Arabidopsis thaliana: one gene and its partner. The protein of the gene in region 2 purifies or fractionates together with the protein of the main gene of each other region. This does not show direct contact. Each region holds a gene or a part of one and is shown on either strand. Other genes may lie near its edges.

Region 1 (8,252 bases), on a different chromosome or scaffold from region 2:
AATTTCCAATTGGGTTTTTCAAAACCCGTTACCTCAGGATGATGAACCCGTTTCTCCCGGAAGGCTGCGATCCACCACCACCACCACAACCAATGGAGGGTTTACACGAAAATGCTCCACCTCCATTTCTGACCAAGACATTTGAGATGGTGGATGATCCAAACACTGACCACATCGTATCTTGGAACAGAGGAGGAACAAGTTTTGTCGTCTGGGATTTGCATTCTTTCTCCACGATTCTCCTTCCTCGTCATTTCAAACACAGCAATTTCTCAAGTTTCATCAGACAACTCAATACTTATGTGAGTCTTCTCTGCTCTGTATTCTCTGACCAAACACAAAACAGAGCATTCAAAGCAGAGGAATGCTCTGTTTTTTTCTTTTATTTTTTTAACTTTCATTTCCCTTGTTGCTGGAAAATTACCGCGAAGTATTCTGAATGTTACTATATAATTAACTTGGTAATGGAAAAAAGTCATTTTTTACAGCAGAATCTGTTGTTAATTTAGCATTCTAGAAACATCGAAAATGTAGATTCCGTAATGGCTAGTGGAGTAGAAGAAGGTTTAGTAAGTTCCAGAAGCAAGTTTCGTGTCAACTTGCTTACTAAAATAATCAAAAGAAACAGTCAGCGATCTTATCCCAATTTCCATTGTTTATTCACTAATCAGCTTTAACGTTGCCCACTTGTTCCATTCTTTAACATATAAAAACATAGAAAGAGTTCTCACTCCAATTATTGATGTTTGTGAGAATATGTAGACTTTCAAAAGATTAGTTTTTGAATACTTATGTTAAAAAAATTACAGGGTTTCAGAAAGATAGAAGCAGAGAGATGGGAATTTGCAAACGAAGAGTTTTTGTTAGGACAAAGACAGTTGTTGAAGAACATCAAGAGGAGAAACCCTTTTACTCCATCATCTTCACCAAGCCATGACGCTTGCAACGAGCTTCGCAGAGAGAAGCAAGTGCTAATGATGGAGATAGTGAGTCTAAGACAGCAGCAACAAACAACGAAAAGCTACATCAAAGCTATGGAACAGAGGATAGAAGGAACAGAGAGGAAACAGAGACAAATGATGTCGTTTCTGGCTAGAGCAATGCAGAGTCCTTCGTTTTTGCATCAGTTGTTGAAACAAAGAGATAAAAAAATTAAGGAGCTTGAGGATAATGAGTCAGCAAAGAGGAAAAGAGGTTCTTCTTCGATGTCGGAATTGGAAGTTTTGGCTTTGGAGATGCAAGGGCATGGAAAACAGAGGAATATGTTGGAAGAAGAGGATCATCAACTGGTGGTAGAGAGAGAGTTGGATGATGGTTTCTGGGAAGAGTTGCTTAGTGATGAGAGTTTGGCTTCCACCTCCTAACTAGATGGATTTCTTTTTGGTTTTGTTTTTAGTTTCTTCTACTTTCAAGCTCATTTTCTTCTGTCACAAAAAAAAAACTTTTTCTGTTTGTTTAATTAATTTGCAGTAATTTTGTTATCAAGTAGTAGTAGTAGTAGTGTAAACAAAAAAATGGTTAATTCTTTCATATATGTGTATATGTATGTGATAAATATGATTGTTATTAACTCCATCTAAACTCTTCTCTGATCTCTTCTTACAAAGACCTATTGATGACGTTGAATGATGTCTTTGTCTGCTTCACTCTTTTTTGCCCTAAACCCTTTTTCCAAATGTGATCTCTCTTTTTCACATCATTTAATGCTATTAAGGAGTTTTGGCTTATTTGGGTCAGTGTTAAGACAAGTCCACATGAGTGAGCAATCATCCATGTCCGTGATTCTAACCTGTAACAGTGTTAATTTAGTGGAATCATGTAATATGGTTTACTCTCTCCGGTCAAAATTCTGATCTCTAGTCTTCAAGAAAATAACTTTAAAATGAGAGCAAAGACAACTATGAGCAAGAAGATTGCTACAAAGATCAAGAATCCACAAGATGGTGGAATGTCTCATGACAAAGAAGAGGAAAACTCTTTAGCAGTGATTAGCTGTTCTGTTTTCTGATCTAAAGTTTCTTCTACAGCAGCTAGTTGTTGATTGACAAAAAAAAAATCTAATCAATCTCCTATCTCCTTCCTATGTTGCCATCGCCTTGTTTGCATGGCTGGACTGTAGAAACTTTTCCACGGAAACAAAGCTATAATCAATGTAAAGATTCTTGCTCAATCAGTCGTAAGGGTTTTAGAATGGAGTTCAACCAAAGCCTTATCTTTTTTAGACACTACTAAAACGAATATTGCAAGTACTAAATTGCTCTACTCAATGTAAATATACTATCTCAGCTTCTAGGTCATTTTGTGTCCACTGTGATGAAGAAACATGAATCGAGAGACAGATCTCAATATGAGTGAAAGTGACAAGCATCAAGAACATCATAAATTTCTACAACAACCGTCGGCAGACAAAAAAGCAAAGCTACTTAACCTTCAATGATGGGGACTTGAATTGGAATTTGGAACAAACAATTTATAGCAAAGCTGATAGGTTATAAACAAATTCGACAGTTCAACAGATTTTCTCACCATTTACTTATTAAAAAACCACTGATTTTTGGTTCTTCAGACTGCTTCTTCATTAGGGTTTTGCAAGGATTGAAGATGGAAGTTAAGGATCGACCACCAGTTCAATTGTGGCACGCTACCGTCGAGTGACCGAGTCAGATAATTACTCTCGGTTTAGTTCGGTTTGGATTTTCCGGTTTAAAAAACATATGTTTAAAACAGAACAATACTTTTGGTTTGGTTTGGTTTGGTTCGAATTTTGGATAGGAAAAATATTATAGTTTTTTATCGACCGAAAAAAATCATTGATTCAGTAACACACACTTTAATTATATGTTGGGAAAATATAGTAACATATTGAAATATAGTTGTAATTGTGCAAAAACAAACTCTTAAATCATGGCATTTCACAAAATGCTAATAAGAGGCAGCAATCATCATTTTAGAGAATTCGTGGAAAGAAAGAAAACCATCGCCATCAAGGTCGGCTTCTCGGACCATATGCTCCGCTTCTTCTGCTGTTATCTTCATCCCCATGTCCTTCATTCCTTCTCCCAACTGCATTTCGTTTATAGAAATTAGGAGAAATGGCTAAATAAACTATAGTTAAGACTTAAGAGTTAAGAGAATGGCTTATATTATAAAAGTAAGCTAATAACCATTTGACCAAGTTAAATGACCAATCTTTTTTGCATTATTTTTGAATATAAATCTTTTTAATTCAGATAACGAAGTATTTTTCAAGTAGTATGTGACTATGTGTCTCTCGATTGTTGTGTTGTCGCCGTGTCGGTTTGAGAAAAAAAAAACAAGACCATATGAGCAATGGAGTTTCTTATGGCGACAAAAATTTGTGTTGTAATGAGTGAATGATAGTAGATTATAAAGATAATAATAACAAGGTCTTCAAAAAAGTAACATTTAGTAATTTCTCTTCTTTCGTTATATCCATCTACATGATCACTTAATCTTATTATATATGTATGTAACTCGTTTTTTATTGTTTCCATGTCAGGACAATGTACTATTTGGTAAATAGTTAGACAATTTATTTACCTCAAGTTGAGATATGAGACCATCTCCGTCTCTGTCGAACACTCTGAATACCTCAATTAACTCATCCGATGCTGATTCCTACAACCAATTTTTTCATTATTAACTTTTCTCTACAATTATCAATCTTTACTATAACTAAACGGTTTTAAGTGTGTATATATATTTTACCTGAGAAGTGTTTTGAGCCATAATATACAAGAAATCATCAAAAGTGATGCCACCGTTGCCAAAGATGTCAACATCGCTCATCATCTGTTGCAGTTGTTCCGCCTTTGGATTCTTCCCCATCGACTTCATCACTTTCGTTAGCTTCTCCTTCGTGATGAACCCTGTTTCACATGCATCATAACATCATCAAACCGATCGATTCTGAATAAATTTGTGTATCAAATCGAACAAGAAAGAGAGAGAACAAAGCAGACCATCGGAATCTTTGTCTATGAGACAGAAGGCTTCGTAAAACTCTTGGATCTGTTCATCTGTGAAAGCATCCGCCATATCTTCGATCACAAAGAAAAGTCAAAGTCTGTCTTTGATTCAATCTGATGATCAGCTTCTCTTAATTTGTTAGTGATGAGAGAAGAAGAAGGGAGCATCTATCACATTTAAGTACACATCACCTCTTGGCTCTAGGCTCTTGCCCGGTCAAGGTCAATACTCATGACCTTGCGTTTTCATTAGTTGTGATATTTTTTCTTGAGCACGATTCCAGGTCACGCGTCTTTGTTCAAACTTATGACTTCAACGCTTATTTTTCTTTATTTTCATAGTTATTAGAAAAAATACTTATAGGGAATTAAATTAGGATCTTGATTATTGCGAAAAGAAAGGGTGGAGTAATGCTCGGGTTTGAGGACTCAAGAATTAAAAGTCGTACACCAAGTTGCATTTTAAGAAATAATTGATGTACGCGTGTCTCTAATGTAACCCTTGATTTTGATTTTCCATTATTTAGTGTCCTAACAACTTCTGTCAAGAATTCCATTCAGTAACTTTGAAAAGTTATATGTCTTGTTACCATAAAAAGCGAAACATATCTTAGAAGTGGGTTTTTTTTAATACCAAATGGGATTTAAAAGGTAATCAATATGAAAAAAACGGACTGACCATAAACATTTTTCTTCTTGTACAAACATGTCTCTCCAAAGCAATGCAGATAAGAGATTTGTTAGAGATGTTGTGTTCTAATTCTAACTCCTACTTTTATTCACGTTATGATGAGAAGTTGAGAACGAAACATTGTAATGTGAATAAAGGCTTAATCTGATAAATATTGTGGGGTCTCTTATGTTTATGTCCATCCAATATTAGTGGCTTACGGCTAAGAAAAATATGAAAATATATTGTAGTGTTCTATACTTCCATTCGATCTGTTTTCCACTTTTGAATGATTCAAAAAGTCTGGATAACCATAAGTTTACAAATTTAAACAAATATTAAAATACTGTTAAAAACAAAACAAATCACTAATACTACAAATTAGAATTTCGGATAGATGTTTCATTCTACAATCGGAGAATAGACTAGTTCAAAAGCGGATACATATTAAAAGATTATCGATCCAACAAACCAAATTCGATGCAAATATATTAAAAACAATATCCGCTTTGTGCCTACCTACCCTGTCCCATACGGTCATAATTAAGAATTGAGGCTAAGTAGTATTAACTGCAAAAATGTTCCGCACTAGTCACACTACTTTGGTCGTAAGCTTACTAAAGAGGGAGATGCCGTGTTATATATCCTTAATTGGATGTTAGTTGGTGGCGTTATCTGTTTTGGTATCTAGAGATCTATGCCTCATTTAGATCTTCTTCTCTTATCATAGTGTATTTCTCATTTACAAACAACCAAACAAATTAAGAAATAAGATATGGGTAAGTAAGATCATAAACGTTAATGTTTGATTTGGTATGTATGATACGATTCAGAATCAGACTCACGCGAATTTACGCTCCCACTACGCTTTACTTAGCGGAGATCGGATTCGGATCTCTCATTTGATTACATTTTCAGCTAATTTTGTTTTTTATTGTTGTTAACTTAACTTTCATTTCATCACACTAGTCTTTGTTTGATGTAAAACAGATATCTTGATTCCCGTATTAGATGGCAGAGCTCCCTTATTTTTGTCTTCTCCCACCAATATTATACTATGTTCAAAAAATAAAATAAAAACATAATATACATAAGGGACGATCACTACAAATAAGCATGCATCAATCGATGTAAATATATCCATTTGGGAATATTATTTGAGAATCTAACTCGTAGTCGTAATTATAATATGTAACGATGCTACCAACTAATTAAATAAGTATTTTGAGGTTAAACAATGTTTTTCGGTTTAGCTTATTTAAGTCATCCAAGTATAATAACATAAGTTTGTTGACAAAAAAAAAACAGTATTTTGAGGTTTACTCATTACTACCAACTCATTCGCATTTTGTCGTAACTAATTTGGTATATCGTATACTTGAAAAATACATATATCTATATCTTGATTTTCATAATCCTTAACGTTACAGTATCCACATATGGTCCAATTAACATCACTGGTCAAACAAGAGAACAATGATCAATCCGTTACTATGATATGCACACATTAAATTTAAGGCTCCTGAAGTGGTTTCATATATTATAAGATTCCATGAGCCATATATCACGAATTAATGAAAATGCGCAAATGATAAGCAAAAGGCAAAAAAAGGAGGCTACGCCACCTGTCAATGTAGCCGTTGCACCTTCTCCTCCTTTTTAAAAATAAATACTCTTTTTAACATTTCCTCAAACGCTCCAATTTTGTTGGTTTCTCTGTTCCAAAATAGAAACGAAATCTTGAATCTCTTGATACGATGGTGAGATCAATCCAAGAAGGAGTCTTGATGTCTTCATCTTCTTCCTCAACCACAAGCAACAGCAACGACTCCGACGGTTCTCTCAGCCCATCTGCGTCCACCAAAAGCTTCGTCCTCAACACTCTCCGTCCGCCTATCACCGGCGCGTACAAGCCACTCGCTGTTCTCTCTGCTCATGTCGGCTCTGTTTCTTCCTTAGCGCTCTGTGGTGAGTTCTTGCTGAGTGCGTCTCAGGGAAAAGATATCATCGTTTGGCAACAGCCTGATCTCAAGATCTTTGCGAAATTCGGACAAGGTGATGGGTCTGTGAAGGCTTTGGTCAGCGTGGGAAGCAAAGTGTTCACGGCGCATCAAGATAGTAGAATCAGAGTTTGGAAAGTTTCTCGGAGAAACTCTGAGAATGCTTTCAGGCTTGTTGATACACTTCCCACGACTAAAGACTATCTGGGGAAGTTTATGAAACAGAGCAATTACGTTCAGACGAGGAGGAACCATAAGCGTCTCTGGATTGAACACGCCGATAGCATTTCGTGCCTTGCGGTACACGCTGGGATAATCTACTCTGGATCGTGGGATAAGACTCTCAAAGTCTGGAGACTGTCGGATCTCAAGTGTCTTGAATCGATCAAGGCTCATGATGACGCAATCAATGGTCTTGTCGCCGGAGATGGCAGGGTATACTCTGCTTCCGCAGATGGGAAGGTCAAGATATGGGGGAAAGAGAAGAGAAAGCAGATTGAGTCTACTTCTTCCTCTTCCTCTTCTTTACATGTTTTGAAGGCTACGTTGGAGGGTCGTGCAGAGGTGTCAGTGAACTCGGTGGTGGTTTCCGGTGACGGTAATTGGGTATACGGAGGAGGATCAGACGGGTTTGTGATCGGATGGGAGAAGAAAGAGAAAGAAGGAGACTTTGAGGAATGGAGATTAGGGTTTGAGACAAGAGGACATAACATGGCAGTTCTGTGTATGTGTGTAGTTGGGGAAATGGTATGCAGTGGATCGGCTGATAAGAGCATTGGGTTGTGGAGGAGAGAAGTGACTGGCATGCTCTGTAAATTCGGAGTCATACATGGCCATGAAGGTCCGGTCAAATGCTTACAAGCGTCGCCAAACAATGTCGGTGCTGGCTTCATGCTTTACAGTGGAGGCCTTGACAAGAGTCTCAGGGTTTGGTGGGTACCAAAACAAGACAACTTAGAAGAGAAGAAATCAAGCTTTAAGACATTGTTGACGCAAAAGGAATGAGTGAAAGATATAGTACTTTTTTTTTTTTTTTTGGATTGGTTTTCATATACGTTTTGGTTTATATTTGTAATTTGTTATTCATTTTGTAAAGTCATGAGGGATTTTTTCAAGAAATTATATGAATTGAATTCTTATTTTGTTAACATTTGTGTCTACCAACTGTTTTGGTCCTAATGATATAGAACAGAGTAAAGTCTGATGCTTTTGGGTTACCTTTGCTTTGTATTGAAACTGTAGCAATGGAATGCTCACCGTCCAAATAGTAAAGCAGAGTTTGCAACTTTCTCCATCACCATCATGCAAAGCAGACGCACCCATTGCTTTGAAAGTGAAGCATATACCCAACTTTGTTGATTCCAAATCACACTCTTTAAAGCAGAATAACTCAGTTTTGAATATAAAAATGAGATGAGGAAGCTTTTAAGGAATGCATTGAGCCAAAACATAAGTGTATTCATGTGTGTAGATGCCTTTCTTTTCGAAGTTGGAATCAATTAAGAAAAGTGTGAATAAAACATCTTCACAAAGAACACAATCATTATCAATCCAGCCTCAAAAGGCAAAAACCTTGAATACTTTAGTATGTAT
Region 2 (8,418 bases):
TGTTTGGTTTTATTGTCCACGGGCTATGCACCACTTAAATAGTGGGGAACACACATGTGTGTGCATTCCCCTTTGTTTAAGGCAATTCTGATATTAAGAACTAAAGCTTTGTATCAACTTTATGAGTAAGTTCCATGCTAGCTTTAGGTTTTTCAAAGGTTTAGATTATATGTCTGCAATGGTGAACGTAAACTATGAATGCATATGCATTATAAGATAGTTTTTCAACGTTTTTTGGCCTTTTGGGAAAGAAACTTCAGTCGTCTAAACGGTTCCTCTAGTACAGCTTGACGCTTTGGCAGGTGATCGAGTCCGCCCAAAAATAGAGAACTTGACATTTTCACTAACAAATTTATTTGATACTATAAATCTGTGATTGGTCGTTGCTCTCATCTTAATTTCTTCTATATTATCTTTACTTGGACTCTTCCGCCAATCTTTTATAAATCTCACACTTTTAATTAATATGATGTCTAGTTTATTACGAAGATTGATAAACTTTTCAATTAATTATAAGTAGACAAACTAGGAGGAGGTCCAATTTCATATTAATATTTTGGTTACATGATTAGAAAGACATTTGATGCCCTTGTGTCGGCTGATTATGATATAAACAATTTTACGTAAAAAAAGAAGAAGACAAATCTTCCGGAACTCACATGCTGTAACAGTAGAAGCCAATACTACGTAAATAATAAATAAACTTCACAAATGAATAATGTCGGAGTCTAATCTAACCACAACAAAATGACAAAATTTTGCAATTTTATAGTATTTGTTATTGTAACATGTTATGTGTAAAAAAAGAGAAGATAATTTTTTTAATCAAAAGCAGAGATAGCCAATTACTTACCTAACTAATTAGAACTAATAAGCCGCTTTAGAAGTTCATGAACCTCCTTTAGTTGTTGGATTAGTTTATTATAATCAAGTGATTACATAAAGTTCACAGCTTCATTTATATTGTTATGATCTTCATTCAAAGAAATTTATATTTTATATAAACGAGAAAAATGGGAACTCCATAAATTTTTAGAAGAAAAATTGTCGTAGTTAAATATCTAACTGAAATTCGTTGAAAGAAAAGAGAATATATTTAAAGTTTCTAATAAATACTATGAAAATCCTTTGAAGAAAAGTACATATTGAATAGAACATATAATCTAGTAAGTTTGTGGTACTCGTTACTTCATCATTTGGATTGAAATGACACAAAAACAAATGTGATGAAGATCCAAACTTAACAAAAATTCATCCAAAATATAAGTTTACACTTTACACACTCGAAGTCTCGAAGGTTCTTACCACAACGTAGTTAAAACGTTAGCCAAATTTAGTTTTAAGAAAATGGTTATGGGGAAATGATGATGTATATGGTTGACTGGGATAACAAAAACTTTTGGAGTGATGTGGGTTTGCATGTTTTAATATATACTTTTAGCTTTATCTTTCCAATTCATAATCATAATCTTTTCGAATAATTGCTTCCGGCTCTTGGAAACTTTTAGATCATTGGATAATGGCTATTCAAAAATCGGTTGATAACCTAAACGTTCTCAAACTTATTAAAACCATGAAATTATACTGAAAATAATAATACTATAATTACGAATCTACCCTTAGCAAGTTATATAAGAACATCATTCTCCTTTCTCTCTTCGACATCGACATTCCTCTTCCTCGCTTCTCTCTCTCTCTCTCTCTCACCGGAAAACTCACTCGGACTTACATTTCCGACGTCAAACTTCTCCAAACCGAATCGGTAATGGCGAAAGGAGGAAACAAACTGATGAAGCTGAAATCAGTTTTGAAGAAACTCAATTCATTCAACACCAAGCCTAACCAGCCACCAGCTCAAACCAATCACAGCCGATCCTCCGCCGTGAGTGCGTTCCCCTCTGAAGACCTTCAAACTGTCTACGTAGGCCGAACACGGAGGACATACCACGTGAGCTCCGATGTCGTGAGCCACCCGCTCTTCCAGCAGCTAGCGGCGGTGGATGGTGGATGCGGCAGCGAGGACGGTTCCATCTCTGTGTCGTGCGAAGTTGTCTTGTTTGAGCATTTGCTTTGGATGTTGGAGAACGCCGACGCCGATGAGTCACGCCCCGAGTCGGTCTACGAACTTGTCGAGTTCTACGCTTGTTAACTCTTTATGATTAATTTAGGTTCAAAATATATTTATGATTAAATGTTACATGTTTGTATATTCTACACTTTGTATACTTTACACTTTACATAGTATTTCGTGAAATAATCTATTTTCTGTTAAATGATACAACAACGATAAAATAAATGTTTAAATGTGTAAATATTGTCTTGCAAGTTGCAATGTAGTTTAAAAATGATGATTTTTTAATGGTTATACAAAGAGCTAAAACTAATTGCAATGTCAATGTTGTATTTGACTGACTTCGTGAACTAGATCAATCACGGGCTACAAAATTTCAAACCCTAATCAATTCATCTTATCTACTTTAGATTGATTGGCCCCTACGTATTTAAATATATTTATAAAATTTATCCGTGTATCTTTTTTTTTCCATAAAAACATACGTATACACGCATGTCATGCACAATTGCACATAAACATACAAACTAAACAATTAAACAATGAACGTATTATATAGATAAATAATTTTGATAAAGTCTAGACGGATTTGCATCTTTTAAAGTCGCAAAAGAAATATGATGACTGAGAAAAAAAAATATAATAAATTAAATCTACATGTGATGTTTTTTAATTTTTGTTTTGGCAAAAGTCATGTAAGAAACTGATTTTATTTGGTAAAATGCAGAATGAAAAAAAAAACGATTAAACATATTTAGGCTTTATGTGAAAAATTAGAAACGAAATTTTTTTCTGACTGGATCGCTAACAGACGAATGCAAGACTTGGAATGGGGTACACCGCTTTTTGGAGATTGGAAACACATGGAAAACCAAATAAGTAGTGCTTGGTGACTTTGGTCCCATAGCAAAGGGTGAAGTTGTGTCTTTCCTGAATTCGAGTGCATGCTGTTTGGGAGAATTCTTTAACTGTTAGCTCCGGCCCAAACAATCGTAAGTAGTGTATACGAATTATATACCAAATCCGACCAGTTCTTGACAATTCGACCACAATCCATCTTCCCCACATTGTTGCATATTATTCATTAGTCTACTTGATTGTCACACATAACAATTTTCGATAACAACATCGAAGAAGAAGACAAGAAATGTGAACATGTTTTCGTACAAGAAGTTATATTTTTGTTTCGTATCACACTTTGACCACCAAATTTTTTCACATCTAACATACATGTCCTAAAACTTAAATCCCCCTTGAAAAAAGAATGGAGAATCAATAAAGAAACCAGGAAAACACAAAGATAATCTGATTTTACAATTACACCCCAAAGTAATCATCCCTAATTAACAATTTCCATCAGTATATGATTAAAGGATAACAAGAGAATCAAAACAAAATAAATGTTTTAAGATTTTTTATCACTTGACTTGTATTTACTCTTCCTTTGCTGCTACTGCCTCCCCATCTGCAAAAGACAAGACAAAGCCATTAGTGTTTCTCAAGAATCAGCATAACAGTGTCTAATAACTAATCGTCTTGCTTGTTCTCTCATCAAACAAACTTGTGAATGTTAACGGGCTTGGCCCGGCCCATTTTAAACGCAGCATGTTTTTAGACCTGATTCTTCAGGGTTTAGACTTTAACCCAGTCCCTGGATTAAGCCTTGGCTGGCCACCAGGATTTGAGTTCATGGTATGATCTCTAGGTAAGAGTTGGTCTTTGGGGGGCTTACCAGAGTTGTCATCAGGATGAAGATCTTTAAGATTGTTCTCCATGCACTTAAGCAAGTACTTGAAAGTCTCGACCTCGCAAGGGATGGTGAGCGCACCGCTCTGATCAAACCCAAACTCTTCCTCTGCTTTCTCGAGCAAAACCTTGAACAGAGAGTGGCTAAGATAGCTTGTCGGTATGATAAACCTCCTTAGCTCCGGTCCAACATAAACAGCAAGATTCCCTTTAGGAACATCATGAGGCGGCTCAGGACTTTGACAGGTTTCCTCATCCGAGTCACCGTTCTTGACATCTAATAGCCTCTTGTTGATGGCGGGCGAAATCATCGCCACTGCTTGCTTTCCAGCTGCCAATGGAGGAACTTCTGACTTGGGGCCTATGGTGACGGTTTGCCATTTCTGCAAAATCTCCTTAAGCCTGACAATCTGCCTGATACCGGTTAACTTGGCCGCGTTGTTTTCATCCATCTGGCTAGTATAACGAAAGATCAAATGTCACATATGATCTTCTTCTTCCCTTTGTAGCTGCATTTACAATGTCACAAAACTGTTTGATTAGTTTCTTTCTGACTCAGTTGCATCAAAATAAATGAAAATACACATTACTATAAATCTGTGTAACGAGAAAGAATTAAAAATCAATTAACCAAGTTTATTGACCTCTAAATCAATTTGAAGCATTACTATATAAATAGGTTAGGTCCCAAATAAAGAAAAGAATATCATCAAAAAAAACAGAGGACCCACCCAAATACACAGAGAAGCAGATCCCAAAGACGTCTTTATCAAGGGAATGTTTTCTCAGATTCCTAAATATTATTAGGGTCCAATTCTTATCTATGGTAAACCAAATCAATCTAAAGAACATCAAACCCTAAGTTTTTTTTAAAATATAATTTCGCTAACTTTATTTAGCAAAATCAGCGAAAATGAATCCAGATTTGATCCCAATCCGCTAAATCAAAGTTCTTCTCAAAAACTGTAAATAGTTCAGATGAAACCAAAACACGTAGCTGAAACAGACTAATACGCAATCGTGTAAATTACATTATCAAAGAGTATAAATTACCTGAAGAGGAAAACGAATTGAAGCTTGCTTTAGCTATGGACACGATGAATAACACCATGCAAAAAAAAATAGCCCCCGAAAATTTGTTTGTTATGATTCGCTTCGATCTTTTTTTTAAGGATAATTCTGTTCTCGGAGACTGGCAGAGCTCAACGATGATGATGATATGAGAGGAAGAAGCAATTTCTAAGTACTGAAACTACAAAAAAAAAATTAAGAAAAAAAAATCGATAGAATCTAAATATTTGGTGGGGGTGAAAAAAAAACGAATAGAGAAGCGAATTTTGGGAGATGAGAGAAATTAGGGATTAGGCTTTATTTGGATTTTATAGTTTTTGAGTTTTCTTCGTTTTTGATTCTCTCTCGCACAGATTTGTTTTGATGGCTTTCCCGTCACTTTCGCCTTTTCAGGTTCTTCCGTTTTATTTTCTCACGTTCTTCTCGATACCGATGGTTACTTTATTTTCAATTTGACCCCTTTACTCCGATATTTACTTTATTTTACAATTTTACCCCTTTACTACTTTATTATTCATTTAACACCTCATCCGTGCCTTCCTTGTTAAAGTTTTTAATTATGTGATCTATAATGTATTATGTACTTTAACTTATTATTATTATTTTATAATAATTTACTTAACTTAGTTGATCCTGTTAATTTATGATATATCAATTTAGTAATAAGATAATTTATGTCAGAAGCTTATTATAAGATGTGGGCTTATTCTAAAGAAAAGATTATATAATTGTGGATAGTGTTCTTTTTGCTGAGGATCATGGATGGATTTTACAAAATCTTCTCTCATGTGCATTGTTTTTGATAAAGTTTCTTCTCATAATTAAATTCTTGAATTAGACAGTTCTATCTGTCTAAATGGGCCGTAGTATAACCTTTTCTATAAGGAGTAGTCTGATGGGCTTAAATGGTTGGTCTATAAGTTATTTATGATTTTTTTGTTTTTCTAAGAGTCTTATATATATTTTTTAATAAAAATATGACTCTTTTAATTTAGTAATAAAACATATCTTTCTTCTTTTTATTTCTATTTATAGGAGTTTTTATTTATTAAAACTTTTTATTTCTATTTTAGAAGTTTTTATTTATTAAAAAAAACAAGACAAGGAAATACGGAATGGTTCTTCGTAAATGTGTTAACTATTTAAGTGAAGAGAGTGTAATTTGGTCATTGTATACTAACTTAAATACAAAACAAAAAAAAAACGACGTTTACACTTTTTTTTTTTGTCATCTGCTTTTAATTATAACTCAAAAGAGTCATTCCTGTGGAATGTTGTTTACATAAGTGATGTGATGCGATTCAGAACGGACATTCCGTGCCAAATTATCCGCTTTTACATTTGCGCGTCGTGAGATTAAAGATAAAGAGAAGTTTGAAAACTCATCCTTGTCGCTCTGAAATTCCTAGAAATATCCTGAAAATGCTGGCCATTCGGTTGGGGAAGACACCATCTTCCCAGGTCTGAACAGTCTGTAAAGAACGCTACATCTTAGTTATCTGCACCGATCATACACTTCATCCCCCAAAGAAGAGCTTCAACTTCTGTATGTAATGGGGAGAGACTTCTACGGAGATTAGTAGTGCCCATGCTTGAGGTTTCTTCATTTGATGATGTACAAAACCATCCTAATCCTGAAAACTGATCACTCTCTTTCCAAGATCCGTCTACAAAACAACGAAGTCCTGCATAAACATTATCCTCTGAGATATTTCTCACACGAGTTCGTGATTCCAAAAAAGAAACCGGATTTTCAGAATGTAGCTCAACTTGAGCTGATTTCCACGATTGTGCTTCTTTTTCCGCTAAACTTAAAATATCAAGTGGATCTTTATCCACATTATCAAAAAGCTTTGCATTCCGTGCTTTCCAAATATACCAGATAATCCATGGATATGAAAATGAATCAACTGCTGATTGTACTCTCCAAAATAAGTGATCTAAATTCTCATAAATAGAATCCGAGGGAAAAATTCCTATAACCGTGGGAATCTGTGAAAGCGCCCAAATCTGTCGAGCTGGATGACATTGAAAAAGTGTATGATTAATTGTTTTCTCCGTGGCACCGCATCTTGCGCAACCTATATCACAATTTATGCCTCTTTTCCGTAAATTTTCTCTGACCGGCACGCAACTCGCTAAAATTTGCCACAAAAAGTGGCGTAGCTTTGGCGGACATTGCACTTTCCAAGAATATGCTTTAAGCAATGTGATCTCCGGACCAATAAAAGACAAATTTGTATCTATATATTCTATCCGAGAAGTATGATATCCAGATTTGAAAGTATATTTTCCGGATTTTGTAAAATGCCAACCTAGAGTATCCTCTTTGTTGGGCGCACCCACATGCAGGGCACTTATCAACGGGATATCATTTGGATCAAAAATCTCATGTAAAATATCCATTTTCCAAAAGTTTGACCTTCTGTCAATAAGGTTACTTACTTTTAAAGATGGATCAATAACAGACCCATTACTTTTTGCTGGTCTCGGGAATTGAGCTGAAATCCAAGGATCCTCCCAAACGGAGATGGATGCCCCAGATCCGACTCTTTTAATTAATCCTTTTTTAACCAGAGATCTAGCTGAGCAAATACTTTTCCATCCATAAGATGGAGAGTACGATTTAATATTTTCTATAGGATTAGATTTCCGAAAATACCTTCCTTTGAAAACCTTTGCAAATAGTGAATCTGGAACCGTAATCAACCGCCATAATTGTTTTGCTAGAAGCGCAGAATTAAATCATCTACATTTCAAAAACCTAATCCACTATCTACCTTACTATCACATAATTTATTCCAAGTCATCCAATGCATGCTTTTAGAATCGACATTTGAACTCCACCAAAATTTAGCGACCGCACTTGTAAGCTTAGAAGTAATGGTTTTTGGTAGTCTGAAACAAGACATAACATAAGTTAGTAATGCTGAAGCTACCGATTTAATCATCACTTCTTTCCCATCCTTTAATAAAAATTTGGCCGACCAACCATTAATTCTAGTTTATAATCTATCTCTAATAAAAGAAAATATTTTTGTCTAACCGACGTTTACACTACTAATAAGCGATTTTCCACCACTTATATAACTCAACTTCTAAAAAATTAATATTCAAAATTTAAATCGATAATAAAGTTATCTAAATTTAGTGATGTACGAACACGGAACATCCTCCACCTAGTAAATGTTGTATCGGTCATGCACACAACCGTAACGTAAGCACACGAACAAAGAGTCGTATTGAAAGTCTATTAAGTTTGTTATATGTTTTCTATTATTAAAATCCATAAGGAGAATAACTCTTTGGGCTATATGCGCATCTTTCTTCAAGACAGAAGCATCTTTCGCTCTCGATTCTCAGCATCTACCAAATATTCATACTTCCACTTGCTCTTCATCCAACGGCTTACCTTTCCTCACTCAACTTGCTCTTCATCCGACGGTCCAGATTTCATCTATATATCCCTTCTCTCTCTCCTTTATATAACCGACTGAATCGTTCACCTCTTTGCAAAATTATACACACTT

What was found. Proteins that work in one complex are often made in the same cells at the same time.
Region 1: the proteins of AT5G20810 (region 2) and CAM9 purify together in Arabidopsis thaliana (affinity purification with western blotting, with the first as the bait; one study listed by BioGRID). This does not show direct contact.

What each region holds. Positions count from the first base shown.
Region 1 is NC_003074.8:19,265,256-19,273,507, forward strand, and holds CAM9 (calmodulin 9), read right to left. Parts: upstream 4,404-8,252; 5' UTR 4,060-4,403; coding exon 3,984-4,059; intron 3,891-3,983; coding exon 3,730-3,890; intron 3,640-3,729; coding exon 3,562-3,639; intron 3,064-3,561; coding exon 2,923-3,063; 3' UTR 2,696-2,922; downstream 1-2,695. Other genes in the region: HSFA7A (heat shock transcription factor A7A), read left to right, coding at 39-302, 810-1,364; AT3G51930 (Transducin/WD40 repeat-like superfamily protein), read left to right, coding at 6,417-7,664. UniProt on the Arabidopsis thaliana protein: Potential calcium sensor.
Region 2 is NC_003076.8:7,040,642-7,049,059, reverse strand, and holds AT5G20810 (SAUR-like auxin-responsive protein family), read right to left. Parts: upstream 5,260-8,418; 5' UTR 4,871-5,259; intron 4,327-4,870; 5' UTR 4,270-4,326; coding exon 3,697-4,269; 3' UTR 3,537-3,696; coding exon of another isoform or gene 3,505-3,536; 3' UTR 3,348-3,504; downstream 1-3,347. Other genes in the region: AT5G20820 (SAUR-like auxin-responsive protein family), read left to right, coding at 1,766-2,149.